4 linked regions of the Lytechinus pictus genome follow. The protein of the gene in region 1 purifies or fractionates together with the protein of each later gene. This does not show direct contact. Links are inferred from orthologs where the notes say so. Each region holds a gene or a part of one and is shown in the gene's direction. Other genes may lie near its edges.

Region 1 (7,379 bases):
TTCTGTATAGTCTTGTCTGCTGAAATAACGATACTGTACTCCAATACATTAATTTAGGACAGTAATGATTCTATTATCATGTTATAAAACAGCTTACCCCATGGCAAACTCATCAAGGTTAGTTTTTCCCAGAAGGATAGCACCATGATCCTGAAGTCTTTCTACCACCGTAGCTGTGTATGGTGGCTTATAATCTATAAAGAAAAATAAAGAATCAATGAATCATTGAAAATTGTACTCGGCTTTGATAGGTATTTGACACCATTTGGTTGTTGACCAGTAAAAGGTGATGTCCATCATCCAGAGGGGAATGAGAATGAAATAAATGTAGAAGTGTTATAGCTCAGTGGATAAATCTCTAGATTTTGAACCACAAGGTCCAGGGTTCAATTCCCACCACAGCACTCGCAGCCTTTGCCAAGGCTTTTATCTACATTTGCCACTCTCCACCCAGGTGTAGTAAATGGGAACTCAGTAGGAAGGAATTCCTTGAAGGCCTCAGTGTCAGTATGGAGTGCTTAGAAACATTTGTATTAAGCGTTATATAAATGTATATTATTATTATCATTTATTATGTATGATTTAATTAGCTATGATCTAAAACACTGTCCTCTAAACTAGTAGCTAACCTGGCCAGAAATGCCAAAAGCTGAATTCCCAGAATTTCTATGGTGTAAAAGCTTCTTAGCTGTACATCCAATAAGAAGCTCTCATTACATGCTTTTCACATACATGTATAGTCAAGGGTAAGAAAATGAATACCGGTAATCCTCTTCCTATGCAAACTTATCGTACATCTAAAAAGTGCTGAAAAGTAATGCAAACCATACTATCAGAAGACACAACTACACAAAGTTTACTTACTCTCTAACATTTTTGAGCCACAAGTTGTTCTAAGCCCTGTTGTGCTGTAGTTGTCCTTGATAGTTATAGGTATCCCACCTAAACAACCTACAGATGCACCTGATAAATGACAAATTGGATCATTGATTCATTTAGTGTCACTCTTTGAAACATAATTGAAATTCTAGAATATAAACTGGCCAGCAAAAGAAAGTACCCACTTCTATCAAAGGCTGCACACAAAAATTCACCCCATAGAAATAAACAATTTTGTACACAGGTATGCTGCAATATCCATTAGTAATCACATACCCAACAGGAAGTGATTATCTTTATTACAAAGAAATAAAATGACATGTACAGCATCTTGGTCACTGAATCAAAAGTCACAAAATGTAACAGAATGAGCCGTCCATTCACTTTGACATATTGGTTGTTAAAAGATGTTGTCCATTCAGTGGCCATTTTTGCTTGGTGGAAAGTGCTTTTGTGTGGGACTTTTGATTCAGAGACAAAGATGCTATGCATGCCAAGTTCTTCTTTGTTATGAAGATATTCAATTGCTTATGTACATGTGATTAGTAATGGGTATTGTAGCACACCTGTGTACAAAAATTGTTTATATTTATGTCGTAAATTTTTGTGTGCGGCCTTTGACAGGGGTGGGTACTTTCTTTTGCTGTCCAGTTTAGTATCAATATACTTATTAAATCCAAGAAGAATCATATAGCAACCTTTACTTGTCAAATCTGATTACCAGGCATAAACTCGCTAACCTGAACATCTATGTAAGAATAATGCATTTAATGAAATTTAAGCCTTTTAGGGTAAATTAAGAAGAAAATATATGGAGGGTGAAGGGATTTGGAAAAGGGAGAATAGTGTGGATTAAAATAATAGTGGGTTACAGCTGAAATCTGGGGAAAAAATAGGGCAAAAATACTCAAAGCTGTAACATAAAAAAAGTTCTGGATAAGACCGTAAATAACCTTTAATTACTTCATGAAAATCTTTATAATAAAAAGTTTGGTAAAAGAAAAAAATAAAGCTTGCACAATTCTACACCTTCATCATTTTCCCTATCTTCATCAGATGTAAACATAGGTGAATCTAACAACGTAGAGTTTATGATACTCTAATACTTTACTTCTACAATTTGGATGAACATATTCAATTAATAGAAATGTGTTTCAATATATGTGACATTCAAAATATGAATTTTCAAAACATGGTATGTTATTGAAAATGCACAATATAATATTTCCTTCAGGAAACATAATGTAAACTAAATTGTAAGCAATATGCATAATAAAATATTTACCATGATCAAATATGAATCCAACTTGTTTTTAATAATAGCCAACTTCATATGGAAACACAGTAAACAAAAACTGGATAAAATGAAAGATTACAGTATTAGGACTTTATCTTCTTTAAAAAAATGAGCAATTTGCTTTCTATGTTAGCAATTTGTATTTGGAATAAAATTCCCTTTCAAGTAAACTCCTGTTTAGTCAATTACATGTTGTATGAAAAAAAGCATTGAAAAAACATTCACCTCAATAAGTTATAGTTAATTTTTCATCTTCAGAAGATGTAAACATAGTTAAATCTGAACCAAGATATTATGAAAGTTTAAAACTGAGTAACACTAATACACACAAAAAATTTAAATATTTTAATCTTGCATGAATCTGAATCATCCAAGAACTTCAGGAGAGATAACACATCATGCTTTGAAAATTAATATTTTCCACATGTTATTTGTTGACCTTTATCTATCATCTGATTCTGTGTTATTCTCATTACAGTATCTCATTGTTTTTCTGATTTGACTAATTTGATATCTTATGAAGATGAAAAATAAAATGAAATATTGAAAAATTGACTACACAGAATGTCTGGCCAATTCAGATTCAATCAAATTTCTATAAACCAAATTGAAAAGAGAGACACAGATGCTTATCAACAAAAAATGTTGAAAACCTGAAATTTCATGGCATCATTTGTTATCTAAACACTGACAAACACAACGATGGAATCTTTGCTTGGAACATGAATCATATTGTGCATAGTGCTCTAAGCAAGATTGGAATATTTACTATAATTTACCATGAATTTTAACTTTAAAAAATCTAAACAATTGAACACTGAATGGAAGAATGAAAAATTTATTGACCATTAAGAAAATGAGAAATCTGCTTTCCATAATTGAAATTTGTATTTGGAATAAAAAAAAAAACCTTCACATAATCAGCAGTCTCTTATGAATTAAAAGTTGTGTGAAAGAAAATATAAAAAAAAGATTGACAAAATCTACCTAGATTGTAACATAAATTTTTCCACCAAAAATATTTTCATCTTCTGAAGATGTAAACATAGTCAAATCTGAAAAGATAGAGATTATGATAGTTTAAATGAATAACACAAATAAACTAGATTCATATAAAAAAAATTCAATCTTAGCCATTGGAAAATTTAAGACTAACACTGTAACAGTAAAAGTGAAACTACCTTTATTTATTTTGTCTTGGACTTTCTTTGCATCTTCCAGTCCTTGATCAAAGCACTCTGTTACAATAGCATTCAGCTCTTTACAGCGCCTTGCCCTCTCTGCACATCTGGAACAGAGCTCAGTGACCGAAAGCCGACCATCACGTAAGCGAAGAGCAATCTGCAATGATGGAAATTTAAAAAAATGAAACTTTGATTTGAAAAATAAACTTTTCATGCTTCAATCTACATGTATATTTACATCTGGAAAATAATATTAATAAAGTTAAGTCTTAAGGCTATAGTATATCTATGTTCCGCAACTTTGACTTTGAGTGGATTATGTCAAGAACAAAATTATCAAATAAATCAAGTGATCACCCATCAGGCGATTATTAGCCCCTCAAGGCTCAAGCTCAACTAACTTATAGTATACCCAGAAAATAGTTTTTAAACAGGTAAGGAAATAATTTAGATCCCAAATTGTTTGGCATTTATGTAGATCTTATTCTAATTTTTAGTTAGAAATTATGGAATTAACCGAACACACATCAACTTAATTAAGTCTTAACCACATGTATGTATGGTGATATAGATCTAGGCCATAGACTATAGTGACTGATAGATTTGCATACTGATCTATGATATGCCGCCCCCACCCTTTCCCCTCGATCACATGCTGCAGTCCCAGGCCCAAACTTGCCAAAGTCAACAAATTCACGAGTGAAGAGTAATCAATATTGCAATAACATAAGCTCTCACAATTTTTTGAGTTTGTGGGACTGAGGTGAACAAAATAATTCCCTGTAAATTAAAAAAAAAAAAGTCAATTTAAACATTTACTTCAGAGAAATACATACTACTTTTACATGAACAAAGAGCCGAACAAAAGATATAACAGAAACATAAATTATATTTACCTCACGAATAGATAAACCGAACATTTTTCGTAAATCTAACTGTTATTGGAAAAGTCGCAGCGCACTCAACTGTCGCGAGAGAAAACGTAGATTTTTGTCCAGTCGTTTTATCAATTATCTTTAAAATGCGCGGCGCAAAAGTACGTGCATTCTCTCTTTCTTTTCCGGTTAGCGCCTAGCGCATAGCTAGGAGAATAAACTACAACTCGTTGCGTGATATTCTCCCTTTTCACTTCTCAAACCTGAATTTTGACAAGAAAGACTGTGAAAATGCCACGAATCCAGATTAAAGGAGGTGTTTGGAGGAACACTGAAGTAAATATTTATGTTTTAGTCTTATTCTCCCTTAAAAATATGTTAGTTTGAGTTAAAATCCATCAGAAATTTCAGTTAAATCGGCGATCTTTGCAAAAAAAACTTGCATGTTTTGCAGTGTATGACGTGCTTTTTGAGTGTGTATTGTGCATTTTAGGGTAGTGTGAGAAAGAAAATTCAAAATTGAAGGTGTTGAAGGATCAGAAATTCAGAATTAAGGAAAAAGAAATGGTTTTAACTTTTATTGTGGCAAGTTTAACACCCATCATTAATGGCATGCCTCATTAATTTAAGTTAAATTAATTTATTTCAGTCATCAGTCACTATCACTCAGTCATTTTGATTCGAAGTGGAGACCGTCCCGATGCCAGGACGTTACTGGGCCAGGGCCAGGCCCTTGGCCTTCATAAAAAATGGCCAACAGAGAATTTAAAAACAAGGGCCATCAAATTGAAATACATTATATGAACATATTTTTTTTTAATGCACCAAGTATAGAAGACATCACGTCGAGACGGGAGATCTTATGGGACACTCTTTATTTTTTTTACGGAGATTACGGAAAAGAATCCGTGTAACTTTTAGAATATTTTGTCTAGCTACAAATAGGTCAGTTTTACCCCTAATTCATCATAAAATTTAATTTGTTTATTGGGGTAAAAATGTTTTAAACAAAAGGATTTAAGGCGTTTTAAAACAAAAAAACTTTAATGTTATAATACAACCCTGTTTTAAAGATTAAATGACCTCAGTCCTCCTCAGTCCACATGTCTGCTGCTTGTGAGGCTTGACTTACTCTTCTGGTGAGAATTTATTCATGGATTTTAAGTACATTTAAGTGCAGGTAATCAATGTATATCCACATGGATTAAGATGTATTTCGATATAAATTAGAAATATTTATTAGTATGATTTCATAATTGAACTTTGAAGGGTTTTATTTTTCAATAACCTATTATCCTATTTCTTTTGTGCATTAGGATGAAATCCTCAAGGCAGCTGTGATGAAATATGGCAAAAACCAGTGGTCTAGAATTGCTTCACTGTTACACAGGAAATCAGCTAAACAATGCAAAGCAAGATGGTAAGTTACATCAATTTATCATGGGGATGTAGTGTTTTCTTAAAACTGTCCATATGGAAGGTATTCCTAATTCCTTATCAAATGTGTAGATATTTCATTTGCTTGTGCGTTGAAATTAGAATTCAGCTTTTCTCTTGTTCTTCATCTTAGGTTTGAATGGCTGGATCCGAGTATCAAGAAAACAGAATGGAGTCGAGAGGAAGATGAGAAGCTCCTACACCTGGCTAAGCTCATGCCTACCCAATGGAGGACCATTGCACCCATTGTGGGACGTACTGCAGCACAGTGTCTGGAAAGATATGAAATCTTACTGTAAGTTACGATCTCACTCTTCAGTGAGATTTTAAATCTAATTTATAGGCCTTTGGAGTTTGAAATGGTTATCAAATTGTAATTCTTGTGCTCTGATTACTTCTGTATTGTGCAGTTTTGTTCACAATTGCTCTGCCAAGCAATGAGATTCAATTTGTCGTAACTCATTTATGAATGTATCATTATCTATTGCAAACCTATTGATGTATTGGCTTTGGTATCTATATCATCACTTATACATGTTTAAGTGTCTCTGAATACATAACAGTTATGTATTCAGAGATTTGAGGAACACATGCGTAACAAACCAATCATACAGCATGTATTTCGCATTGAAATTGAGACACAGAGGCCATACTGTTTGCTTGCTTGGTTGTAATAGATATAACATTAACTTTTGATGGAAAATGAATGAGTATTGATATCAAACTATGATTTAGGCTCGTACCTTTGTTTTAATAAAGCAACAGCCTTTGTGGAGTTGTCATGTTCAAGTGGTCAAAGGAACCCTATTACACATGAAGGTACAGGGTTCAAAACCTGACCACAGCACATGTGCCTCTGAGCAAGGCAATTTATTGTCACTGCCCTGTCATGTCTTATGAATGGCTACTTTAAAGGTTCGTCCAAGATAAAATAATCCTGTACGATACACATCTGTAAAATCAAAAGTCTCATGAATACAGATGAAAGTCTTGACTTCAAGTTTGAGAGCACACATGGGAAATTTACTTCCTAATATTACCTTTTTAGATAGATACATGTATGAAATATAGTATTTTAGAAAGATGTTTTTAACCTTGAGTAACTAGTTTCTTTTAGAACTAAGTTCTTGAACAGTTTTACATTTGAGATGTTGGTATCATTTTGATGACCAGTGATCAAGCGCAGAAGAAGGAAGGTGATGGGGATACGATGGATGATCCAAGGAAGCTGAAACCAGGAGAGATTGATCCTAATCCAGAGACTAAACCAGCTAGACCTGATCCTATTGATATGGATGAAGATGGTAAGGAATGAAACGATTAAAAATCATCTCCTGAAACAAACTAAAATAATGATATTCCATTCTTGTACATTAATAGGGCATTTCACATTATCATGTAACAACTCATGTGCTTTCAAAAGACTTGATATTATTACTCTGGTTTTAGCCTGCATACTTTTATAGCACACAAACATTTCTAGGAATAAATTCCTGACAGATGATCATTAACCTCACCTGGTTCAAAATAGACCTTATACAAATATGATACTAGACAAGCCTAAGGAGATGAGGAAAATTGAACTTATCATTAAATGAGATGAGATAAATGTTAATCTGAGATAGAAATAACTCGTACTATCCACATTGATATATGCAAATTTAGCTAATAACATAAAAAAAAAAACAAGATATCAAATGGTGAAGA
Region 2 (7,682 bases), on another chromosome or scaffold:
TAGGAAGTATGTCGAGAAAAATTGAAAATTTATTTGCCTGATGCAAATTGGTGCTTTTTGAACAGCACCCAATTGCGAAACATTTTTATGTGTTTGATATGTTAGTTATTTTTTTTCTTTGAATAGAGTGTAGTTTCATTAGTCGAGGGACATTTTTTTTTACAGTTTCAACTGGATCTCAATTGGCTGATGATAACTTTTCATCACAGTTTTTAATAGGAATGTTCAACTTGATGGAACAAAACATAATTTTTTCCAATCTGTTTCCATCTTTTCTTTTTTTATTTTTTTGCTTTCTACATTGAACTACAGGTTGATAATAAAAAAAAGTATATGATAATAATATTCCGCTCAAGTATTGCATGATAAAAAAAATAAATAGATGTTTACAAGATGAAGTGATACAATTTAGAAACAGGAATGCCCCAATTGGTTAATGTAAATTTGTTTTAATAGAACCTTTTCTTTATTCCTATATGTCCTTTCCTTCTTTTATTTGTAGATGGCCTTGAAGACGCATCGAAAGACGTGGCAACAGATGAGAATGTCCAGTGAACACCAGCAGTGGGGTGTCATTGCATAAATCTGTTCCAATTCCCTAACCTATGAACTATTGTTAGAATAATGACATGCCCCTGTATGCTTTTAAACTGGTAGGATCAGAGGAATTAATACCTGGTTCTTGGCTTCGCTTTTCCTATTCAAGGTGTGACAGTTGACGCAAATTGGGAACTGGGGAGTGTTTCATAAAGCAAGTACTCGGTGATTTTCACTGACTAAATTTTTCTGAGCCAATCAGATGAAAGGATTTCAGGAAAAAATAAAAAATTAGTCAGTGATGATAACTATTTGCTTCATGAAATGCTCACCTGGGGCCCGTAACACAAGGTTAGCAATGATCGTAGAACATTTTTCTACGATTGATTGCATTGACTACAATGTACAATCAATCGTGAAAATTAATCGCTAACCTTTGTGTTACGGGACCCTGGACTTGATACTTATTGCAGCATGAATTGTACCTGTACCACAAGTTTATATCCTTCATTGGGGACAAGAACAATAATGTGAAAATATGTATAGTATATATAATAGATTTATATTGTTCATCATTGTAGGCTAGGGGCCGAGGGTATTCTAAACATTGTCTTTTCTCAGAGATATGACAGAATCTGTATTCAGGTGGATGTCATAACTTTTGTCATTAAAACTGTCTTGAATTTTACATCTTCTCTTTATCACGCTAAAAAAATACACAGTTCATGAATGCGCATAATCCCAATATACAAGCAAAAGATATGACAACATTTATGACAAAGCCTAGTAGTCATTAATTTTGTGATTTCGTTTGGTACCATAATATCCCGATAACCTGCCGACTAAATATTTAGGTTGGATTGTTGTTTTAGTTCCACTCGTCATCCATGACTATTTTCAAAAATGTTTTTTCATGTTACAAGTAGTTGGGCCCTACATATTAATTCCTCCTTTTTTATGTTTTCCTCTTTTTAAAAAATCTCTCTTCTAATAATCCTTCACAGCTCCCTGTTTTTATTTGTAATTAAGCGTGTCAATATACGCGCAGTCACGCGATGCCAGCTATATATCAAGGATGTGCCACCGGGCCTTCCTGTTGGTTAGAAGGGCTCCCACTCGGAACTAACAGTGATTTTGATTGGTTTGCTTCCGAAAAGATGGGCGGGAATATGGGAGAAAAATGACAGAGGAAGGACAATGTTCAGAATACCGATTTGTGACAATCATAGCGGTGTCACATCTCAGGAGAGAAATTACAAAATTTATGACATGGTTCCAGAATACCACCCCAGATCTAGAACTGCAAAAACATGTACATGTGTATAAAGAGTTTCCATTGTTTTTTATACAATGATCTGGATTCATAAACAGTGGATTTTGATATGTGCATGAATTCCCTCAGTATCTATCAGTGACTATGAAAACAGAAACAATAATACTTTTCTGTGCATTACAGCAAGGCAACCAGGTTGTCATTCCAGTATTAAAGATGGAAGGGAAACATCTTCAATTTCCAATAGCTTTCATTATCTCGATTGATCGAGCTGTACTGACCAACTTTGGCAAAAGGAAGCAAGTGACACATCAGTCAAATTTGAGTTATTGTTGTTTCTGAAACACCCTTTGTATGTTGCACGTTCAGGCAAAATATGGGGAAGAAATTATCGTTCTATGGAAAAATATTGAAGAAAACATGCTGTTAAATTGCATTGACGCCTATGTAAATGACTAATACACATTGCTCATTTACACCAAATGATACTTTTGTAACTTGCTTAATTTTGCCAAAGTACGGCAGCATAGCCATGATGTTTTCCCTCTCTGTAAACTTTATTCATTGTATATTCATTTGAAGTAGAGAGCAGAAATTCACTGTGATGAAAACAAATGTAGAAAGAAGCACAGAAGTATGAAATGTTTTTGTTATTCAATGAAAGACACACGTAAGGTTTATATTGTGTATTATGAATGTGATGATCAGCAATGAAAAGAAGCTTGCAGCACTCCTGTGTGAAAGGTGCAGGTCTGACTTTCATGAAAATGCCTTTAGCATTCATCTGAAAGAGAAAAGTACTACTCCATATTATTGAAATAACGACCACGTCTGTGATGTTCCTAACATATAATAAATGATGGTGAACCAGCAATATAACAATAATTCAGAAATAATAAAATGCATATGCATTTATGATGCTCATAATATCTGCTAATTGCATTTTAATTCTCTTATTTTTTTCATTCATGATACAAGTACATCCCTGCTATACATGTATTGCAACATATTTTCGATGATTGTAGATTCTGATGCAACTTCAATTTACATTTTATGAAAATATTTATATTTTGGGGAAAGTAAGCATTTGGAATTAGACTTGTCCATTACTTCGTGCATCGACTCACATGTTGAAAGAGTCATAAAATACTCCGTCCAAAATCAATCTTCTGAAAGGTCAAGTCCTCCTCAACTAGAAATTGATTTTAAAAAAAGGAAAAAAAAAACAAGCAAGTATAATGCTGGAAATTTCATCAGAATTTTTTATGAAGAATTGGGTGTCGAAATAAGGATATAACCTTTCAAAGTTTCGCTTATTTTCTCAAAGTAGTTGATGTGCACAACACGTGTGAAATTTTGAACATTATGCTTGTTTTTATCCTTCTCTACTACAATTTTTAGTGTTTTTGTTTACTTCTTGGGTTGGACTTGACTTTTAAAGAGAAAGATCACCTTGATTAGATCATCATTTCCAACATATTGTGAGTAAATGTTTATTTTGAAGAAGAAAAATTGTTGCAAAACCAGTATTTATATATATTATATATAAAATAATGTTCTATGAATTATTGATCATTTGTGGCATTTTGATAATGTGCCTACACTACAGATGAGAACATGTGTATATAAATTATAAATGAAAATATGCATTACCTCCTTTGTTTATACTATTCAATGTATGTTTCGCCTTATTTTAGATTTAAATTTCAAGTTATTTCCACTCATAGAGATAACATAAAACATAGATAAAAAGCAACTAAGTATTATTTAGATATTTCAGATTTAAAAATCTTTATATTATTGTTTCTTACTCGATATACTGTTTACTGAAAATAAAATATTTGTTAACTGACAAGAGAAACTGCTTATTTCTATTTCAGAGACTACCCTCCCCCACCCCCCCCCCAAAAAAAAAAAAAAAAAACAAGGAACAAGATAAAATGAGAATGAAAAAAAATGAATGTTTGAAGTTGACAAACTAAATTGAATGAGATGCTGTATATTCGATCAGTAGCAGGGACAGTGCTACAAGGAGTGTCTGCCCCTGTGACTTCTAAAAGTAATGGGGAAAAGAAAAAGAAAGGGAGAAAGCCCGGGAGAAAGACAAGAGCATGGAAGAGAGATGACATGTGTCATGTGACTAGTCAAATATTCTCCTTTGGAAAAGAATATAAAGTGTAAACGAGTGAGAGTAATTCAAATAGAAAGGGAAGGGACAGAGGGAGAGAGAGAGTTGGGGAGAGAGAAAGATGGGGATGCATGGATTCTCTCTTTTGCAGTGCCTTCTCCCCCACCTACCCTTTTCCCTTCGGTCTCTGTCTCTTAATTTCTTGTTTCCATGTCCCTTCTTTATTTCTTTAATTCAGATAATTATATACATATTTTTCTGAAAGTTTTTTCAATTCTTTATTTGGCTTCGTTACCAGCGGCACTGTCCCATCAAATGCAATCCTCTCCCTATTAAGTGGGGGCTTTGTCTTGGATCAGGTAAAACAAATTATATTCTGATTCTTTGAGATAAAAATCCGTTCGAAGAATGAATATAAGTAAAACCTTAAGCCAATATCCACCCTTGCACCCCTTCCCCCCCTCTCGCCAAATATATTTACAAACACTATACTATACATCAATAAAAAAGAACATAACACAAAGGTTTCAATCTTATCCCATTTTTAAAGGGCAGTACTCCCCCTCCCTTGATCAAGTGTTAACTCCTAGCTCCTAGATCATTACTTTATTGAAGGAAATGGAAAAAATAAATGCAATAAAGATAACATCATTAGATTCTAAATAGCTAAATCTATCAAAATTTAAATGTTAAGTTTCCGTTCCTGTTTCATAACAGGAGTTTTAAATCGTGATCAGGCTGTCAGCGGTAATTCACTTCCAAGTAAATGCCACCGGGAAATGCCAGTGAAATGATTTTTCTTGGGGCAATTTTAACTTGGCTAAATTGACGCTGGCGCGGCGGGCGCGACATCTGCATGCATGACTTGGTTTGCTGCCATCTGCGTCAGCCACAGTCCATTGTTTTGGTACACGCGCGTCGATTGAACGTCCAATTTTTATCGTCGGATGCTGATCGCAATCCGACATCATCATGAAGCTAGTCAGGTAATTATCAATTTTTATTCAATAATTATTAATTGATGGATCTATTTGACCTGCATCATGAAAGTCTTAATCTTACTTGTATGGTTTATGGTTTATTTTCACATTACATGTCGGTTTATATGACACCCATGAAAATGAACGAGTGGGACTGAAGTAGTGAAGATAGGTTGGATGGAAGCCCTTGCATTTTAGCAAGCTAAATACCGGGGCTCGCCCTTGTCAGTAGTGATGAATATTTGTACAATATTGGTATAATTTGGAATAAATGTAGATCTACTGATAGATACCAGGATGTTTCATGAAGTGTCATCGAACGTTATTGTCGATATTTTACAATGTTTTATTAATAATAATATTTTAATATGATTAATATCGACTTGTCACAATTGTGTCACGACAAAACGGCTGCACCGTCTGTAGACTAGTGTTTCCGAATATGGTTTATCGCTTATCAGAACCGCAATGCATAATGGGATCGGAAAGGGGGCTGGAGAGCAACGGCCCCCTTTGCGATCCCATAATAATGCATTGCGATTCTGATCAGTAGAGGCGCACGGCCAATATTGGAGACTGTCTCCAATGTGGGAGATTATCTCCAATATCAGAGACTTTTGTAAAGAATTTGGGTATCCAATTTCAGAGACAGTCTCCAGTTTTGGAGACCAATTTCCTTTGTTTACATTTGCTGCAAAAGGATTACCTTGGCGGCAAATAAAAATGTGATAAGCAGATTCCTCATGAGAAATTACCCCTTTTCACCGTCTACTTTAAAAATTCACCATCTACTTTTGTTTTGATAAGGATTTTTGTTGTCAATCACACACAAAACAAATGGGCTTCTGACCTCAGTGAGACAAAATTTTGGGTGGAAAAAATCATGCTTTTGTTGGTGTTGTTTCTTTTGTCCTTTTGCAAAGCAAGTCTCCAATGTGGGAGATTGTCTCCCCTATTGGAGAGAGTCTCCCATATTGGCCGTGCGCCTCTACTGCTGATCATTAATGATACTGATAATAAATTAATACAGTAATACTAATAGTTAGACTTAGAGGTGCACGTAGCCAGGCGGCTTCTTTTTTGAGAGTAAAAATCATTTACTAACGTAAGGTCAACGTTCTCGCCAGGTTCATTCTGACGCTTGGCGGCGCGAAGCGATGATACGCAAGCCGCGCAGCTACTATTACTACTACACGGGGGGGGAGGGTCGCGGGAGGGGGGTGTCCCCCCTCCCGCGCGGAGCGCGGTAGCTATCGAAAATATCAATATCGACGAGCTTAGATTGCTGCTAAATGCACCACATTTGATGTCTATTTAATGCTTCTCCGGCCACACAGCCGTAACGGTTGCGCGAATTGCGATCGATTGAAGCAGAAAGGCAAGTACTGATGAAAAAGGTCAAAAGAAAAGATTTAAATTCAATCTCATTTTATACTTACAGTTTATAGATTTATTCACATCAATGACATCGATAACGTACTCCATACTTTCCAATGTCTAGATCGCTACGTCCTTAGAAAGTGCGATTCATTTTGTGAATGCGTGTCAATGACCGACTACATCTACGGACCGCATGCGCGCCGCGCCACGCCCTTACTCAATCCAAAGATTGTTCCGACTTTGTTTGGAAGCCTCGGAAGAAAACTTCCGAGGCTTCCAAATAATGGGCATCGGTATTCATGAGACGATATAATTTGCATGTTTGTTTTGTTTTCAGATACTCACTGAAACTATGACTCTCATAATTAAGACTTCTGCTGATGATGTTTATACTAATAATATCCAATCAAGATTCGTTTATCACTGTCAATTATTGCTATGTTCATTTGTATTGTTCTATACTCGCCTATAAAATAATGAATGTGTCCATCACGAGCGGGAGAAATATTTTTAGTCATTCATCATACTTTAATATTACGATTTTGTTCTTATTATAATTAATTGCGATTTAAAATGTTTTAAAAGTAAAGCTTAATTGACAGGAAAGTAGATTTATACTCACTGTCAATTATTCCTATATGTTCATTTGTATTGTTCTATACTCGCCTATAAAATAATGAATGTGTCCATCACGAGCGGGAGAAATATTTTTAGTCATTCATCATACTTTAATATTACGATTTTGTTCTTATTATAATTAATTGTGATTTAAAATGTTTTGAAAGTAAAGCTTAATTGACAGGAAAGCAGATTTGTATTTTTAAATAATGCACTATGTAGGCCTACAAATACAGCGTGTGTGAAAGAGAGGAAGAGGGGGGGGGAGGGTTGTAGCTAGGATGGTCGAAGGGGGAGCGCGAAAGGGGAGGGGTCGTGGCGTGGACAATGACAAGGGGATGTTGAGATCGTGCGTGTGTGTGGGATTGGTGAAGAAGTCAATATTCGAAGCGAATGCATATTTATAGACATGTCTATACTACTACTGATGATGACGGCTGAATAATCTTTCTTTACATGTATATTTTGGCGATTTTAAATTTTTTAAATATTTTCTTTCATCATGAGTGGGAAGATCGAGGTACGTGATTCAATAAATTGCATCAGTTATGTTACAGAAATTCACGAACAGATTATTAAAATTGAAAAAAAAAAAGAGTCAGAAAGATCTTTTTATAGCCCCCATCCAGCGTAAACAACATGAAGAATATTTGAGGTCACGAAACCAGCTGATTCGCATTCATACAACAGGTTAACAGGTCACGCACATGGTACACAGTCATTCCAAGGGCGGGAATTCGGGGAAACCCGTTTTCAAGCACAATGA
Region 3 (7,560 bases), on another chromosome or scaffold:
TCATGAGGCGGACGCTCTACCACTGAGCCACCATGACCGGTTGCAATTGTACATGTACAATTCAGATTGTATCTCAATGATTCCAAATATTTTTTCATGAACAGATAAATATGTTTTCATGTATATTGTTTTCAATAGCATTTCAATATCAACATTAACATATCTGAGTTATGCTGGTGAAAACCGGTCATAGAATTGTTCTCATTGGCCCGTATTCTGAACTCTGGTTTAAATTAAACCTTGGTTTAAAGTTGTGGTTTAAATATGGAGAGCCAATTGGGGCACATATCCTTAACAGTACACATCCAATTTATTAACTCATTCGACACTCAAATTGTTCTTAATTGTCTGTTAATGGTAACTGACAGATTTTTCTTCATTATGAAAGCAAAAGGAAACAAAATAGTAAACATAAGAAATATACAATATAAACAGAAATTTTGGCTCCCAATAATTTTAGCACAGAGTTAGACCGTGGTCTAAGTTAAACCCTACTTCAGAATGCGGGCCATTGGGTTTAGGTAATGCAGTTTTAGCTTATTGTAAGTTCTTGATAATTCTTTGCTCTATACCTTACCACAAACCTATTTTTCCCCTTATCTTTAATGTTAATCATGTTTATGAGAGTGTACTACTCTCTGCAGAGTATAAAACATTATATTACCAGAACTTAAGTCTGGTATTGATCCCCTCAAAGTGACATTAGACTATCATCATGATGCATAGAAAGGATCCACTCACAAATGTGAATCACATTAAATCAATTTTGAAATAATCTGTTGACTTGTATGGTGCATAATTTCATATCTAATTGTGCCTGTTATCTGCTTAATAAATAGAGTAGAATTCACTGAACAAAATGCTGAAAATTTCATCAAAATCGGATAACAAATAATAAAGTTATTGAAGTTTAAAGTTTAGCAATATTTTGTGAAAACAGTCATCACGAATATTCATTAGGTGGGCTGATTATGTCGCATCTCCACTTTCCGTTTTCTTATGTTATTACAGAAAATCAAATTTTTTTCATTATTTCATACTTGTGTGAATAATATGTCTCCCTTATAATGAAATAAGTTGCAGCAATAAATATCTAATGCACTAAATCAGTTGTCAATCCAATTTTTCTAGTTCTTGGAGGAAAAAATTTGAATAAATCTAATTTCATATAATAAAATACAAAAGAACAAGTGGGGATGTGCATAGGCGGGGGGGGGGACTTGTCCCCCCCCCCTAAATTTGAGGTGGGGGACGATCCCCCCCCCTAAATTTTGTATCAATAACTTTTTTTTTTTTTTGTGTGTGTTTGTCAAAAAATTTTGATGGTCCCCCCTAAAATTTGGGTGATAACCTTTTTCTTTTTTTTTGGTCGTCCCCCTCAATTTTTTGGGCTTCCGCCGCCAATAGGGATGTGACATCATCAGCCCACCTAATGAATATTCATGACGACTGTTTTCACAAAATATTGCTTAACTTTAAAATTCAATAACTGTTATTTCAAATAACAAAGTTAGTGTTATCCGATTTTGATGAAATTTTCGGCATCTTGCTCAGTGAATTCTACTCTATTTATTAAGCTATAATTACTTTCAGCCCGGACCATCCCTTTAATAGTCATGAGCACTAGCGTACCTACGGGTACGAGCCACCACCCATGCATGTATCCCTGCCCCCCTGACGAGCTTGAAAGACCTTTTTGCCCCCCCTGACGAAAATCCTGGAAAATCCTAGGTACGCCACTGGTCACGAGTCAGTTATACCTAGTTCTTCCAAGGAGGTTTCAATGAGATGGAGTAACAGCAAATAAAATCCCTTTGAACGAGGATAAAAACCGCCACCAGCAAGTATGTCAGGCATGCACTTTGCTCAACATCTCTTGCCCATTGTGTAGACAAATGATTCTCGCATGACTCCACAGCTATAGGTCATATATAAAGGGATACATGCTATATTGTGATGATAATTACTTTTTCGCTGCATCTTGATCTGGTTATATGTGTAGTACGTATTCGGAGGCGTGCGAAAATAAACTGCAATAAATGACTCAAATTTGCTCGACTGGGCATGCACGGGCACTCATCTGGCATATACAATAATGAATAACAATATTCCACTGACCACATTTGAAATTCTCATTCGCCGCAAACGATCGGAAAAGTGTTAAAATCTGTTTTCAGTAAACGTCAAATTCTTACATTTTTCACTAATTAAAGGTTGATTGATATAAGCTGGGCAAATATATCGGCGTAATAGTGCTTGGTTATTGATATTTTGTAATGAGTTCAAATTTCAGTTTGTTTAATAATATGAAAAATGGAAATTGATACAAATGGATATTCGTAAAATTTCACCCCTCTGATTTCTTCGCTGAAACTGGCGGCTTCGAAGGCGGACTCTCAAAAAGGTTCTTATCGACTGCCATTCTTTCTTTTGTGCTTCTTTAGAAATGAATTACAGCTGCTTGAATAAATTTGTTGCCTGTTGGAACTCATCCATGCAGTCATAGAATCTTCTTGGTTCTTCACACTGTCACAATTCATGCCACAATGGAAACCATGGTCTCAATCGCGGAATAATTGTGACTGTGGCAGATCTTGAGGTCGTGGTAATCATGATTTTAGATCAAAAATTTGGACAGCTCAAAAATTTTCCTGGGTCCCGTAACACCAAGGTTAGCGATTAATCGTACGCTTGATTTTCACGATTTAATCTATACTGTAGTCAATGCAATCAATCGTAGAAAAATTATCTAGGATCATTGCTAAACTTTGTGTTACGGGCCCCTGATCAGCGGCTAAGAAAGGCCAATCTCAAAGGATGCACAACAGAATTGAGACAAGTCAGATAGATCATCAAAGTTGGTAGTGATCTGATCCATGATTGTTAACATAATCTTCATAAATTACATGAAATATTGTGGTATTTTAGTCTATTCTCTATTCCACAGGATGCTGTATGATTATGGCAATTAGATTATTTGATAATAAATTAAATAAAGATGCCTGAACTACTTTCCTGGCTTTAGATATTCTTTGTGCATTATTTTGTTTTATGCAAATAGTGAAGGTTAGGAATCTTATTCAGAATGGGATTTTGAATTTGATGAGACTCGGTGGTTATGACGGACCACCATCCGATCCAACAAATTCTAAAACATGAACCATGAGCAAACTTTGTCATTTTATGGTTTTGTTATATTCTCCTTTTATTCCCCCCCCCCCACATTATTTTTTGAACAATATATCCCCCTAAAAAACAAATTTGGAAAGCCAATTCCCTCCTTCATGCCCATACAGGCAAAGAAAACACCTATAATAACTATAATGCTCTTTCTTCAATTAATGAGGGGCACAAAAACTTTGGAACAAGTGGGCTTGCATGTGGAAACAGAAAAATCATATAATGATATCAAAGAAAGTTTGAGAAAATTGGTCAAAAATAAAGAAAAAGCTATGAGCATTTGAATATTGCAATCACTATAATGCTATGGAGATCCTCCAATTGGCAATGCGACAAAGATGTGTGATGTCACATATGAACTATACTTTAATTCCCTTTGATGGACTATGAAATACCCCCAAATATCTCTTTTTGCTCTTTCTCTTTTAAAATCTGTTTTACTTGCCTTGTCATTATGAGATGTGATAAAAGAGGCAGATTAATATACAAAAGTTTATGGGAAAGTTGTTCACACGTACGTGACGTCACCAGCATTATGTTGATAAATTTTTCCACCTCTAGCTATCATACTGGACATCACACATCTTTCTGGCATTCAAGTTCTACATTACAATAATGATCTAAATTCAAATGCTCTTAACTTTCTTATTGTTTATTCAATTTTCTCAAAGTTTCGTTGATCTGTTTTTGTGATTGTTCTGTTCTTACACAAGCTATCATGTTCCAAATGTTCCGTTTTCCTGTATAATCCATGCATGGATGGGTGAATGAATGTGCAGCCTCCCGGCACAGCCTATTTTATGTACCTGCATGATCTAGCTCTTGTAATTGAAAACAGCTTTCAGTCTTTGATTAATTTGGCTGGCAACTATTGTCATGCAGAAAGAACTATATTATGTTCCCCTGGCTTGGAGCTTTTTAAAATGGATTTAAAAGCTTCCTTTATATATCGAGTTATATTTCTCTTTCGATTTCTCCTTCATTTTTGTCTTCTTATATCGAGGTTTTTTACCTGACTGCTAAATAAGCACGAATGCCTGTGAACAAGCAACCAGGGGACCAACGGCTTAAGGTCCTCTCCGAGGGACCTGGTAATGAGGATAAATGCCTTACCAAAGGGCACTAGCGCACCACTTGGGAATCGAACCCGGGTCACCGGAATCCGAAACCCCCGCTCTACCGACTGAGCTATCGCGCCTCCAATATTTTCATATGATTGTTTTTCTTTCATTTTCCCCTATTTTTCTTTTCCATTTTCTTTTATTTTCTCTTCTTTTTCTTTTAATTTATTTCTCTTTCTCCCTTAATTCTTTTTTTTCTATGTCTTTATTGCTATCTTCTAGTCTCGTGTGAACACGTATACTGACTATCGCGATAGTCAGTATAGCGATAGTCACTATAGCGATAGCCCATCAATTTAGAATTGTGTCTATTATTCATTAGATTAAACATACTTATATGATTCCACTGAATATTGATAAACGACGAACCACACAATGTTAAACATAGTTTGGTTTCATTTTATTTTGGCAGTCATCTCTAAATAAAATAGCCCTTTCTCTGAATAGCTCATAGAGTTGGATAGCTCGACAAGCTCAATCTTTATCAATCTTTATCATGATCAAATTGGCAACTTGGCGGTACGTTTGTTTATTATTGTGTTCTCACTTTCACGGTACGGTCGACAGAAAGCAGAATTATTTACACAATCGCTCAAAATCTACGTAATCGAGGTTTATTTTCATCCAGAAATACTTGAAATCGAAATAAAAGATGTCGATCGGTGTACCTATTAAGGTTTTACACGAGGCAGAGGGACATATCATCACTTGTGAGACGAATACAGGTGAAGTCTACCGTGGAAAGCTCATCGAAGCCGAAGACAACATGAACTGCCAAATGATGCACATAACTGTCACTTATCGCGACGGACGAGTCGCACAGCTTGAGCATGTTTATATCAGGGGAAGCAAAATTAGATTTTTCATCTTGCCTGATATGCTGAAGAATGCTCCCATGTTTAAGAAAGCCGGATCTAAGGGATCTGCAGGACGAGGAAAGTCTGCGATTCTGAGAGCCCAGGGTACGTTTTGCAATGTAAAATCAATTGACATTTTTCTGTATGGTGTAACCGGTCAACCCTACCTCAGCTCAGCCAGGCGAGGCGAGGCCGAGGGTACCGTATGGGCACTATGATGGGGTGTCCAAACTTCGCGCACTTTTCAAAAATATTCATCAGGTTTAAATTTTTTCACAAAATATTCATAAATTATACAAAACCAATTAAAAAAATAGTTACCACATTGACGGCAAGATCGTAAACTATAAAATAATGGACGAAAATGTAAAGTAGGTCAAGGGAATTCGCCAGTATCGCGATCTCAAAATTCTATTCTGATCGGCGAATGCGCGCTGTACTGGAAAACGTTCAGAAAAAGTGTGACCTAACTTCGCGGACCAAAGTTTTTGTGGACATTTAAACAAAAACTCAAGCTCAAAAAGTGAAATATTTATATCAGATTGATGGCAAAATGCTATAGAATTGGTTTGTACCACATTTAACTCACATTTTTGATGATTTCTGCTTGCAAAATGGTGATATCGTGATGCTTGTTGAGAATATCAGATTTCTTCAAAAACGGGCGCTAACGGTGACAAATTTGCCGATCTTTTGCCAATATTTTCATGAATACTGAACTCATCCTAAAGAAACTTACACCAAAGGGTAATTTTAGGTCGCTTTTCACGTTGATGATGTCAGATTTTAAGGATATTGGCTAGTTTTTTAGATAATGACCGTCCGCGAAGTATGGACACGCGCGAAGTTTGGACTCACTGCCATACTAGTATTCGACCTGGCATAATTCAAAGATTTGGCCAAATTCCCCCAAATATTTAGAAATAGGGAATTTATCTTAATTTCATACCTTCTTTGTTATTTCAAGGCCAGGGTAATGACTATGTTAATCTGTTTTCGGTATTTTCTTTATCAATCTGTGACTGTGAGTGTAATTCTGTCGATTGTGCGGAGGATCAAATTATGCGGCGATGACCTTTTGGCAATTTTTTTTTTGCACTGAATTGCACTAGTAAGTAGTATTCAACCTAGTGATGATAGATAGTGAATCTCAAAATGGTTTAAATTGCTAAACTAGATCTATGACGTACAGACTAGATGTAGGCCTAACTGTTAACAGTAGAGCCTAGAGGCATGAGAGGCGCACAGCCAATATGGGAGACTCTCTCCAATAGGGGAGACAATCTCCCACATTGGAGACTTGCTTTGCAAAAGGACAAAAGAAACAACACCAACAAAAGCATGATTTTTTCCACCCAAAATTTTGTCTCACTGAGGTCAGAAGCCCATTTGTTTTGTGTGTGATTGACAACAAAAATCCTTTATCAAAACAAAAGTAGACGGTGAATTTTTAAAGTAGACGGTGAAAAGGGGTAATTTTTCATGAGGAATCTGCTTATCACATTTTTATTTGCCGCCAAGTTAATCCTTTTGCAGCAAATGTAAACAAAGGAAATTGGACTCCAAAACTGGAGACTGTCTCTGAAATTGGATACCCAAATTCTTTACAAAAGTCTCTGATATTGGAGATAATCTCCCACATTGGAGACAGTCTCCAATATTGGCCGTGCGCCTCTACTGGTTAAGTCTCTGGCTTTGACTAATTCCCTGTTTGGTCTCATCTCAAATCCATTACACCTATTCGTCATACAACTTGGCCCTTAAGTAAATTTGATTCTTTAAATTATTTTTTTCTTGATTAAAAATAGAGATAAAAAAATGAAAATTTTCTTGCCATATTACTTTCCACCAAAAGAGGGCGTACACAAAAATATGCCCAAAATTCAAGTTTTTGAGTGCTCTAGTAAATACAAAAATTATTCCCAAGTTACTAATGAAAAATAAATTGCAACTGTATGAAAATTAGTAATTTTGGTCACAAAAGTGATATTTTAATGATTTTTTAAAGTGTGTGCTCTGTACAGCATTGGCATGCCATAGTCCTACCTGTAGATTCCACACAGGCAGGATGGTTGCAGTGAACAAGTGGGCAGATCGAGAAACAGGGCCATCTTTCATCGCTAGGTTGAATACTGGTGCCGACGGATTGAATACTAGTGCCAAAAACCATCGACGTATAATTCGATCGCCCGCGTACACAGTCGACGGGTTGAAGAAAAAAATAATGCAAAAAGAATAACCAACATTTGCTCTTGGAAATAAGGCAGGTCTGAAATTAAGGTAAATTCCATATTTCTATAAATTTGAGGAAATTCTCCAAATGGGTTGAATACTAGTGCCCTTACGGTACTCAGACTGTCTCAGTAGAGGCCCACGGCCAGCGGCGTACCTAGGATTTTTCA
Region 4 (7,931 bases), on another chromosome or scaffold:
AATGGGTTCTATAACGGGCCCCTATATGGACCCTTCCTGCATTAGGCTTTACGTTGAAGCACTGGCGTACCGGGGGGTGGTTCCACAGCCAAGGGGAAATAAAAGAAAATAAAGGAGGCAGCAAAATGAGATGAATGAAAAAAAATATATGACATGATATTTGCTATAATGATGTAAAAATCTATCACATAATTAGAATTTCGTTTTAACAGGCCATTTTTTTTCTGGCTCGCTTCGCTCGCCAGCGACTTTTTACAAATTTTCCCACATTTGCTATGGTGTGCCCCTCACAATATTTGGATGATTACGATACACACTTGAATTTATGTGTTGTGTTAAAGCTATATAAATATACACGCAATTTGATTAAATTAAGTGGCCATCTGTAAGGTTTAAAATGGCTTTGATATCAAGAGGTTCCGGGGCTCTGCCCTGGACCCCACCCATAAAGCACTGTTATATGGATGAGTTTGGACCATGGCCCCCAAAAGTTCTACAACCAAACAAAAAAAAATGAGGAAAGAAAGGAAAGTGTATTATATTTTTCTGAATATCACGTTAAAATCTATCTTCATGTTAGATTCTCATGAAAGGTGATTTTTTTATCTCGCTCGCTTCGCTCGCTCGGGACCTATGTTAAGCTACTTCTTGCCAGAAGCGCCATACTCGGCCCCCTCGAGCATGTAGAGCTTCGCCCTGATGCTCACAATCATAACAAAAATCCTGTTCACCGTGGCGTACAAAAAAGAGAGAAAAGGAAAAGAGAGGGTGAAATATGATATCATCTTTTTAACATTATGTAAAAATCTATCACAAAATTGGATTTTTGCAATAAAAATGTCAAAATATTTTTGCTCGCTCGCTTCGCTCGCTCGCTTTTATTTATATGTATATTTGCCCGATACGCCATATCGCCCCCTCAAATTTTTTGCCTTATGACGCCATTGCCTGTTCCATGATATGACCGGGAAATTTTTGGCTCTTGCCCCCCCCCCCCCCTGGCCACCGACCCCTGTTACGCCGCTGAGAATGAGTACCTTACTTAACAATTAATGCGAGTGCAGAACACGAGCCAAAGATCTGTGATATTCCAATCTGAAAACTGGAAATCATAAACATTTTTGTAACCATGAACAGGATTACTAGTATTAATACCATACTAAACAATAATTGATGCGAGTGCGATCCCAAATTTTTGATTTACTAACTTAAAATGTATTATGTTTTACTATAAATTCTATTTAAAAAAGGTATTTCTTTTCAATGTTTTTGAAAATGGGCACATTTCATTTGGAAAAAAGGGAATTTCTCGATTTAGAAAAGGGGCCTTTTTTCCTACATGGAACTTTTCAGGGGGGGGGGCAAGAGATCACAAAGCGCAAGTTGAAAATTTCAGATGCTGACCTGAAAATTAGTCAGTTTTAGGACTCTTGTCAGTTTTCATGTTTTTTTCTGCTTACAACCACTTTAAAATTTCAATTATCATTTTTTGTATCTTCTACTGTTTTTTTTTACCTAAAAAACCGGAATAAAGAATACTACCAAATTAAAGACCAAAGAAAATAATACGAGGAAAATCCTAATGGAATAGAAATCAACCTTGTTATCATTCTTCAGAATTAGCTATAAAAATTGTATGAAAATTGTTGTCAAAATTGCAGTCAGATCTGTCAGAATTCTTCCTGACATCAAATCACTATAATCTTTATCATAATCATTATTACGATAATTATCATCATTATTAGTAATATTGTCATTATCATCATTAGTCAAGATTACAACACATAATTTTTTTTTCATCACTGCTGTTTTCTTTGTAATATAATGTGTTGATGATTCTTGATAATTGTAAAAATATATTGATGGCACTGCTAGTACACTTACTACCGCTGCTGCTACTGCTATTGTTGACTGGTAGAATTGACCATTAGTGTCATTAAATATACAGAAAATTTTAAGCATTTATAATTACTTATATAAAAACAAATAAAAGTACAAATTACAAAATGCCTTGAAAATGCCTTGAAATTTCAAGGCTCAAAATCCTCAAGGCCAAGGTCAAGGCCCTCTCAAGGCTAAGGCTTGAATGTTCAAGGCCGAGGCTTTGAAAAAGTAGGCCTTAAGGCCAAGGCCAAGCATCATGACACTACAACACTGTGTGATAGCAAAAAAAATTTTTTTGCATACGCTGTTAGAAAAACAGAAGATTTTACATAAGAAAAAATAAAAACAGATTTTACAAAAAGAAGTAACCAATAATTGTTAAAACAGGAAAGATTTTATACAATTTTTATAGAATTTTTCAGAACAGGTCTGTTTTAAAAAGGGGGAAAACAGTTTTATTACAATAAATTTGTAAGGTTACATACACCAATATCTATTTTCTGTAATTTTACACAAAATGCATGTAATATTACACAGTGCAGTAACATACAGGTGTTCTCGAGACTCTGCTGCAGGAATTTTTGTTTTTTTTAAGTAGAAATTTTCTAACAGTGTAGACTTCAAAGCCGGATAGTTTAAGCACCATTTAATAATCATGAACAAGATATGGATTTCATTAAACACTATAATGCACGCGCGAAGCGCGAACAAAAATTCTAAATAGTGACCTGAACAAAAAAAATTATAATTCTTCCCCCATTCTTATTATACCCCGCTTCAGAACCCCTGAAGCTTGTGGGATTTCATGGATTTTTCAAACACCCCTCGTCAGCCTGTTCTGTATTTTTACAGCCTTTTCAGGATAGAATATGCTACACTGTAAAAAAAAAAATAAGTCAGGCATTCTTTATTTTCTCCATTAATAGTGCCCGTAAAATAAGAAATGCATTTTGAGACTATTTCTTGTCAACAACTAGTTGAATCTTTATAAAAGTGCTTATACGAGCTTGAATCCGCTTGAATCGGATTGGATGCTCAGATGCATCATAATTATGTTGAAGGGGAGCTCTCATTAGCTAGTCTTAAGATATACGTTTTGAGATAACAATTACCAATATATAGGCTTACAGAGAATAACCTAACCTATACTTAAAGTGATTGTTTAACATTGGTTTGACTTTTAAAAAATCTGAGCTAGAAGGTCACACTTAATTCTCACCTGTGTCTGTGATATGTTACAAAAATGAAGCCCAGAAAAAATTGCGTTCGAAAATAATTATTTAGTGCTACATAAATTTAAATATAAAGTGACCGAAAAAAACCATCTTAATTTCATCCCATACACTTATGTGTACTATTTAGGCGTCTATAAGACGCCTATTTACAAAATCGGGGTTTGCCTTGTAGTTTTAGCTTTTCATTCTCAATAATGGTTGTTTTCAGGGTTTATTAGTTCTAATACATGCACTTGTACACATGTTTCATCTTGGTTTGAGAATTTTTTAAATCGGCTGCTCACAATTAAAGTTTTTATTTTTTATTTTATTTATTTATTTACCACTTGTGGGATGGAACACCCTATCAGCAAGTGCTGTTTTTCGTAGGGGTCCATACACACAACAATAAAAAATGTACAATATACAATCAACCATGGTAATGACAAAAGCACAAACACAAAGTTAAACAATACCTTTAAAGGGAAAATAAACTGCTTTTGAGAGGAACGTACATGTTCTGCTACTTATATAGCATAATCACTGCGGTATTGTGAACGTATATATCGAGTATATTGAATTAGCATTCCGGGATTAGCATATCGTTCAAGTCGGTCTATATTACAAGACTACACTGCTCAGAATGTTGCATTATGGGTTACCTGTTGAGGTTTGAGTAGAGCGAGCTAAGGCTTGAGGTGATCAATTCATTAAGGCTTAGCTGTTACAGTGCTATAGTAGAATTTGATCTACTTTAAAGGTGAATGAAACCTTTGGAGCAAGTAGGCTTGTGTCGAAACAGAAAAATCAAAGAATAAGAACAAAGAAAGTTTGAGAAAAATCTGACAAATAATGAGAAAGTTATTGCAATCACTAATGCTATGGAGAACCTCCCATTGGCAATGCTACAAGGATGTGTGATGTCACGGAACAACTTTCCCTTTGATGGACTATAAAATACCCCCAAAATGTCTCTTTTTTTAATTTTCTTATGGTGATACAAACTCTTTATCCATGATGTATTCTTTAAAAATATGTATTATATGCCCTCCCATAGAAAGAATATATGCTCTACTGATAGATGTGAAAAAAGAGGCAGTTTTAGTGAAATGTATATGGGGAGAGTTGTTCACAAGTGACATCACACATCTTTGTCGCATTGCCAATGTGAGGATATCCATGTCATTAGTGATCGCAATATTCAATGACGCTCATAACTTTCTCATTATTTGTCCGATTTTTCTCAAACTTTTGTTGATCTGTTTCTTTGATTTGTCTGTTTTCACACAAGCTATCTTGTTCCAAATGTTTCATTTTCCTTTAAATACTAGTACACGATAGTCGACCTAAAAAAAACTATGCCCACCTCTCACTTTCTTGTCTCCCCTTCCTCTCCTGGCTTTTCTGAATTTTCTTTTCTTTTCCCTTAATTCTCTTCTCTTCTCTAATTCTCTTCTCTTCTCTCCTCTCCTCTCGATCCTCTTTTCTTCTCTTCCGGCTTCTCTTCTCTTCTCTTCTCTTCTCCTCTCTTCTCTTCTCTTCTCTTCTCTTCTCCCCAGTAAGCGCCCCCACCTCGATCTTAGTCTGCTATGCAGACTCTGAATGGCTGGTGAGGTGGGATCGCGCGCTGCTGCTGGTTTGCGCGAAGCAAGCAAACCAGCCTGAAATGGCGAGCGAAGCGAGCCAGCCACAGTAGACCTAGTCTGCTATGCAGACTCGTTGAATCAGGTGTGGTACACACACTGCAGATGTGGGTCTTCATTTGTAGACTACCTCGATCCTGCCGAGCCCTCAGCTCCGTCACGTCACGAGCAAAGGTCGCACGGCGCGTTCGTAAGCTAGCTTGACGAGCGCGTTCACGCGCGCACGGAAATCGTGTAGGTCCAATTTAGCATCAAACATGGCGGCCGCAGAGTATGCAACGCGTGAAGGTATGACTCTTGAAATGTTTCTTGTTTGGTGCCATGATTCACTCTATTGATACAAATTTGAAAGAAGAATGATCATAGATTTTGAGACCACAATTTTGAATGTTTAAAAATATGTTTTACTTGTCTGTTTATGTTGTATTATCAGTGTTGTTGACGACGAGAGTTGGGTGATTATTTTTTTTATTTTGTCATTTGTGTTGACTGATTCGTGTGGTGTCATATACGGTATGGCCTATGTATGGGTACACACTGGTACATGGCCTGTGTGATATGATGGGGGGGGGGGGGGGAAGCTACGCACTTTGTTTTCAAACGATAAAAACTATGCCAATTTTAATATTTGAACAAATTATATTTCACTAATTTGTGGCAAACATTCTAAAGATCATTAATAAACAAGAATAAAAATTTGCAAAACTCACGTAATACGAAAATCCCGCTGTCAGCCTGTCTGTCATGTCAATCATGTCAATGGCAATGCCAATGGCTGTTTTTTTCAGAATGTAGAAGAGGTCCTAAAGCTAGTGTCTGAAGCCACACTGAAAAGTGTCAGCATAAAACAGGCTGATTTAGGGGAAAATATGGCACATTTTTCGGGGAAGTTCAGGCTACTAGAAAAATGTGATCTGAATTGATTATTATTATTAACTTGTGTTTGGCATGTATGGAAAGAGAAAATTGAGGGGCTTCTTTTGACAGTAAGGACAAGTTTATATGATCATTTTAAATAAGGAATTAGAGATAAATTGCAAAACCTTATTTTTGTGTGTGTTGAGATTGCCATTTCTCCATGCGTTTTCCAGAGCTTCCAAGTCTCCCGGATCCTGCGGGAGAATACTGGATTTCGATCCAATCTCCCGTTCTCCCGACCCCATGCCAAAATCTCCCGGATAATTGTGATTTTTAGCTGTTAAATTGTAAAATTCATACAAACGACTGTTTTACGAGTCTAGCATGTTCAACTCCCTTTAGTTTTACACCCACGTGGAAACTCCTTATCACATTTTCATTTTACCCAGTTACTTTTACCAGTTTTTGTATAATCGTACATTGATTTCCAATGTAAATGAAGATAATTTTACCGAACGACTGGTGAATTAGTCTAACAAGCAATTTTTTTTTCTGGTTCTGCAATGTGCATGTGCATGATGGAAACACTTTAGCGGCACTCCATGCCTATGCCCCCCGACGCGCCCCGGCGCGGCACTGCCTGGTCTCCGGCAGGAGGCTATGCGAAAAGGGAAGTCCGATGTATTTTTCGGAAGCTTGTGTGCGCTTTATTCGAGCTGAAACTGTGGATCAACGATGGGTTACTATTATAATTACACCCTGACTTTTAGGAATAATTTTATTGACAATCCTGAAGAACAGAAGCAAAGTGGAGATTTTTTTTGCCTACTTTTACTTGGGTTGATCGGATTCGAACATTTTCTCTTTCGTGAGTGAGCTAGCCTGGCGCTGGCTGGCTGTGCGTGCTTGCTACAAAAAGGCAATTTTCACAGGAATCCCTCGGCCCTCAGACTTTAAAACAGGCCACATATAAGTCTTTACAGGGCCAGGCAAGCTCATCTTCCACTACTGCAGCCCTTTTCCCCTCTGGACAATAAAGGTATTTTCTTGTTGAACGCATTCTTTTGTGAATCATTTTATGTTCTACTGTATTGCCTGAAATCAGGCTTGAACTTATTTTTTTAGTCAATGACAGACAATTCATCATTTCATGAAATCTCTCTAATGTGCATTTAATCTATGTGCCAAAAGTTTTGATGGTTTAGACAGCTGTCGGATACTATCAAATGTTGTTTCTTAATGAGTTTTGCTACCCAAAACTCCCGTCCGTGGGACATTTCGCCGCGCGCTCCCTCACAAAATCATACCTCCGCGAAATCTTCTGGATTCTATCATCCCAATGTTGGCAGCTCTGGTTTTCTATGGGAAAATGAAATTTCTGTTTTAACTTTGTCGCAATTTTTCATTGTGATCTGGTTTCCAAATCTTTATAAAAATCATACCATCAGATAGAGCATAAAAAATCCTATTGGACTCTTTAAGGACAAGTTTTTGGCATTAATAATAAATTAATAACATCTCGGAAGCTAAAAATTTGGATTTGTGTGTGTCCATTTCTTAACTACACAGTCTATGGCAGAGAAATGCTGAAAATTGACCTAATTTCATTCTTCTTTTTTTGCAGCCAATAATTTGATTTTTTTCAAAAATGTTACATTTCTGTCAGTCTGAAGGTCATTTCTCTTCAAATTCGCAAAGAAAATGTGATATTTTCTTGAAATAAGAAAAATAATTTTTTTCTCCAGACACCCAAGCTACGCACTCGATTTATCATGCAAAAAATATTATTTCCTGTGTCTCAATTTCTAAAACATTATTATAGGATAAAATGACATTAAAGTGAGTATAACTCCAAAATTCCAAACAGTTCTTGGTTTTCTCTGCATTTAGAGATTTACTGCAGCCTCTGTTGAAAAAAAATTGTTCGTCACCCTGCAGTCAGTTCCACACGCAGAGTGCGCATTTGCCAAACTGCATGTGCGATGAGTGGTGTGTAGCTTTAGGACCCCCTACTACCATACTATTGATTGTCAATGTTGATCATTTGGCCATTTTTCATTTTTGAATGTTGATTGTGTCGAGTAGACGCCGCGCCTTGGCCAATGCCAGCCCAGGCTGCCCAGCTGTAAACCAGGGAGCTGCGGCCCAGTTTGCAGGCCGGAGCCCAGGTCCAGGACTCGTCCGTGCATAGTTGGCAGACATATTATGGGGTTGCATGATAAGTTGTAGTTGGGTATGCAAAAAGGGTGGCAGATGAACAATTTTCCACATGGTGCCATTGATAAATTGTTGCTACATCACAGTATCTTGATCAAATTTATTGAGTAAGATC

Evidence for each region.
Region 2: the proteins of cell division cycle 5-like protein (region 1) and small nuclear ribonucleoprotein Sm D1-like purify together in Homo sapiens (affinity purification with mass spectrometry; 4 studies listed by BioGRID and IntAct, with this or other methods). This does not show direct contact. The link is inferred for Lytechinus pictus from reciprocal best matches to the Homo sapiens genes CDC5L and SNRPD1.
Region 3: the proteins of cell division cycle 5-like protein (region 1) and small nuclear ribonucleoprotein Sm D3-like purify together in Homo sapiens (affinity purification with mass spectrometry; 3 studies listed by BioGRID and IntAct, with this or other methods). This does not show direct contact. The link is inferred for Lytechinus pictus from reciprocal best matches to the Homo sapiens genes CDC5L and SNRPD3.
Region 4: the proteins of cell division cycle 5-like protein (region 1) and splicing factor 3B subunit 1-like purify together in Homo sapiens (affinity purification with mass spectrometry; 5 studies listed by BioGRID and IntAct, with this or other methods). This does not show direct contact. The link is inferred for Lytechinus pictus from reciprocal best matches to the Homo sapiens genes CDC5L and SF3B1.

Annotation. Positions count from the first base shown.
Region 1 is NC_087248.1:5,493,398-5,500,776, forward strand, and holds the start of cell division cycle 5-like protein, read left to right. Parts: upstream 1-4,376; 5' UTR 4,377-4,526; coding exon 4,527-4,571; exon of another isoform or gene 4,572-4,714; intron 4,715-5,551; coding exon 5,552-5,655; intron 5,656-5,805; coding exon 5,806-5,967; intron 5,968-6,845; coding exon 6,846-6,976; intron 6,977-7,379. Other genes in the region: glutamyl-tRNA(Gln) amidotransferase subunit A, mitochondrial-like, read right to left, coding at 98-194, 865-963, 3,358-3,517, 4,257-4,280.
Region 2 is NC_087246.1:62,605,908-62,613,589, forward strand, and holds the start of small nuclear ribonucleoprotein Sm D1-like, read left to right. Parts: upstream 1-4,667; 5' UTR 4,668-4,910; coding exon 4,911-4,924; intron 4,925-7,682. Other genes in the region: coiled-coil domain-containing protein 113-like, read left to right, coding at 503-583. UniProt on the Homo sapiens protein: Plays a role in pre-mRNA splicing as a core component of the spliceosomal U1, U2, U4 and U5 small nuclear ribonucleoproteins (snRNPs), the building blocks of the spliceosome.
Region 3 is NC_087246.1:7,903,238-7,910,797, forward strand, and holds the start of small nuclear ribonucleoprotein Sm D3-like, read left to right. Parts: upstream 1-4,560; 5' UTR 4,561-4,953; coding exon 4,954-5,263; intron 5,264-7,560. UniProt on the Homo sapiens protein: Plays a role in pre-mRNA splicing as a core component of the spliceosomal U1, U2, U4 and U5 small nuclear ribonucleoproteins (snRNPs), the building blocks of the spliceosome.
Region 4 is NC_087257.1:28,175,201-28,183,131, reverse strand, and holds the start of splicing factor 3B subunit 1-like, read left to right. Parts: upstream 1-4,927; 5' UTR 4,928-4,998; coding exon 4,999-5,029; intron 5,030-7,931. UniProt on the Homo sapiens protein: Component of the 17S U2 SnRNP complex of the spliceosome, a large ribonucleoprotein complex that removes introns from transcribed pre-mRNAs.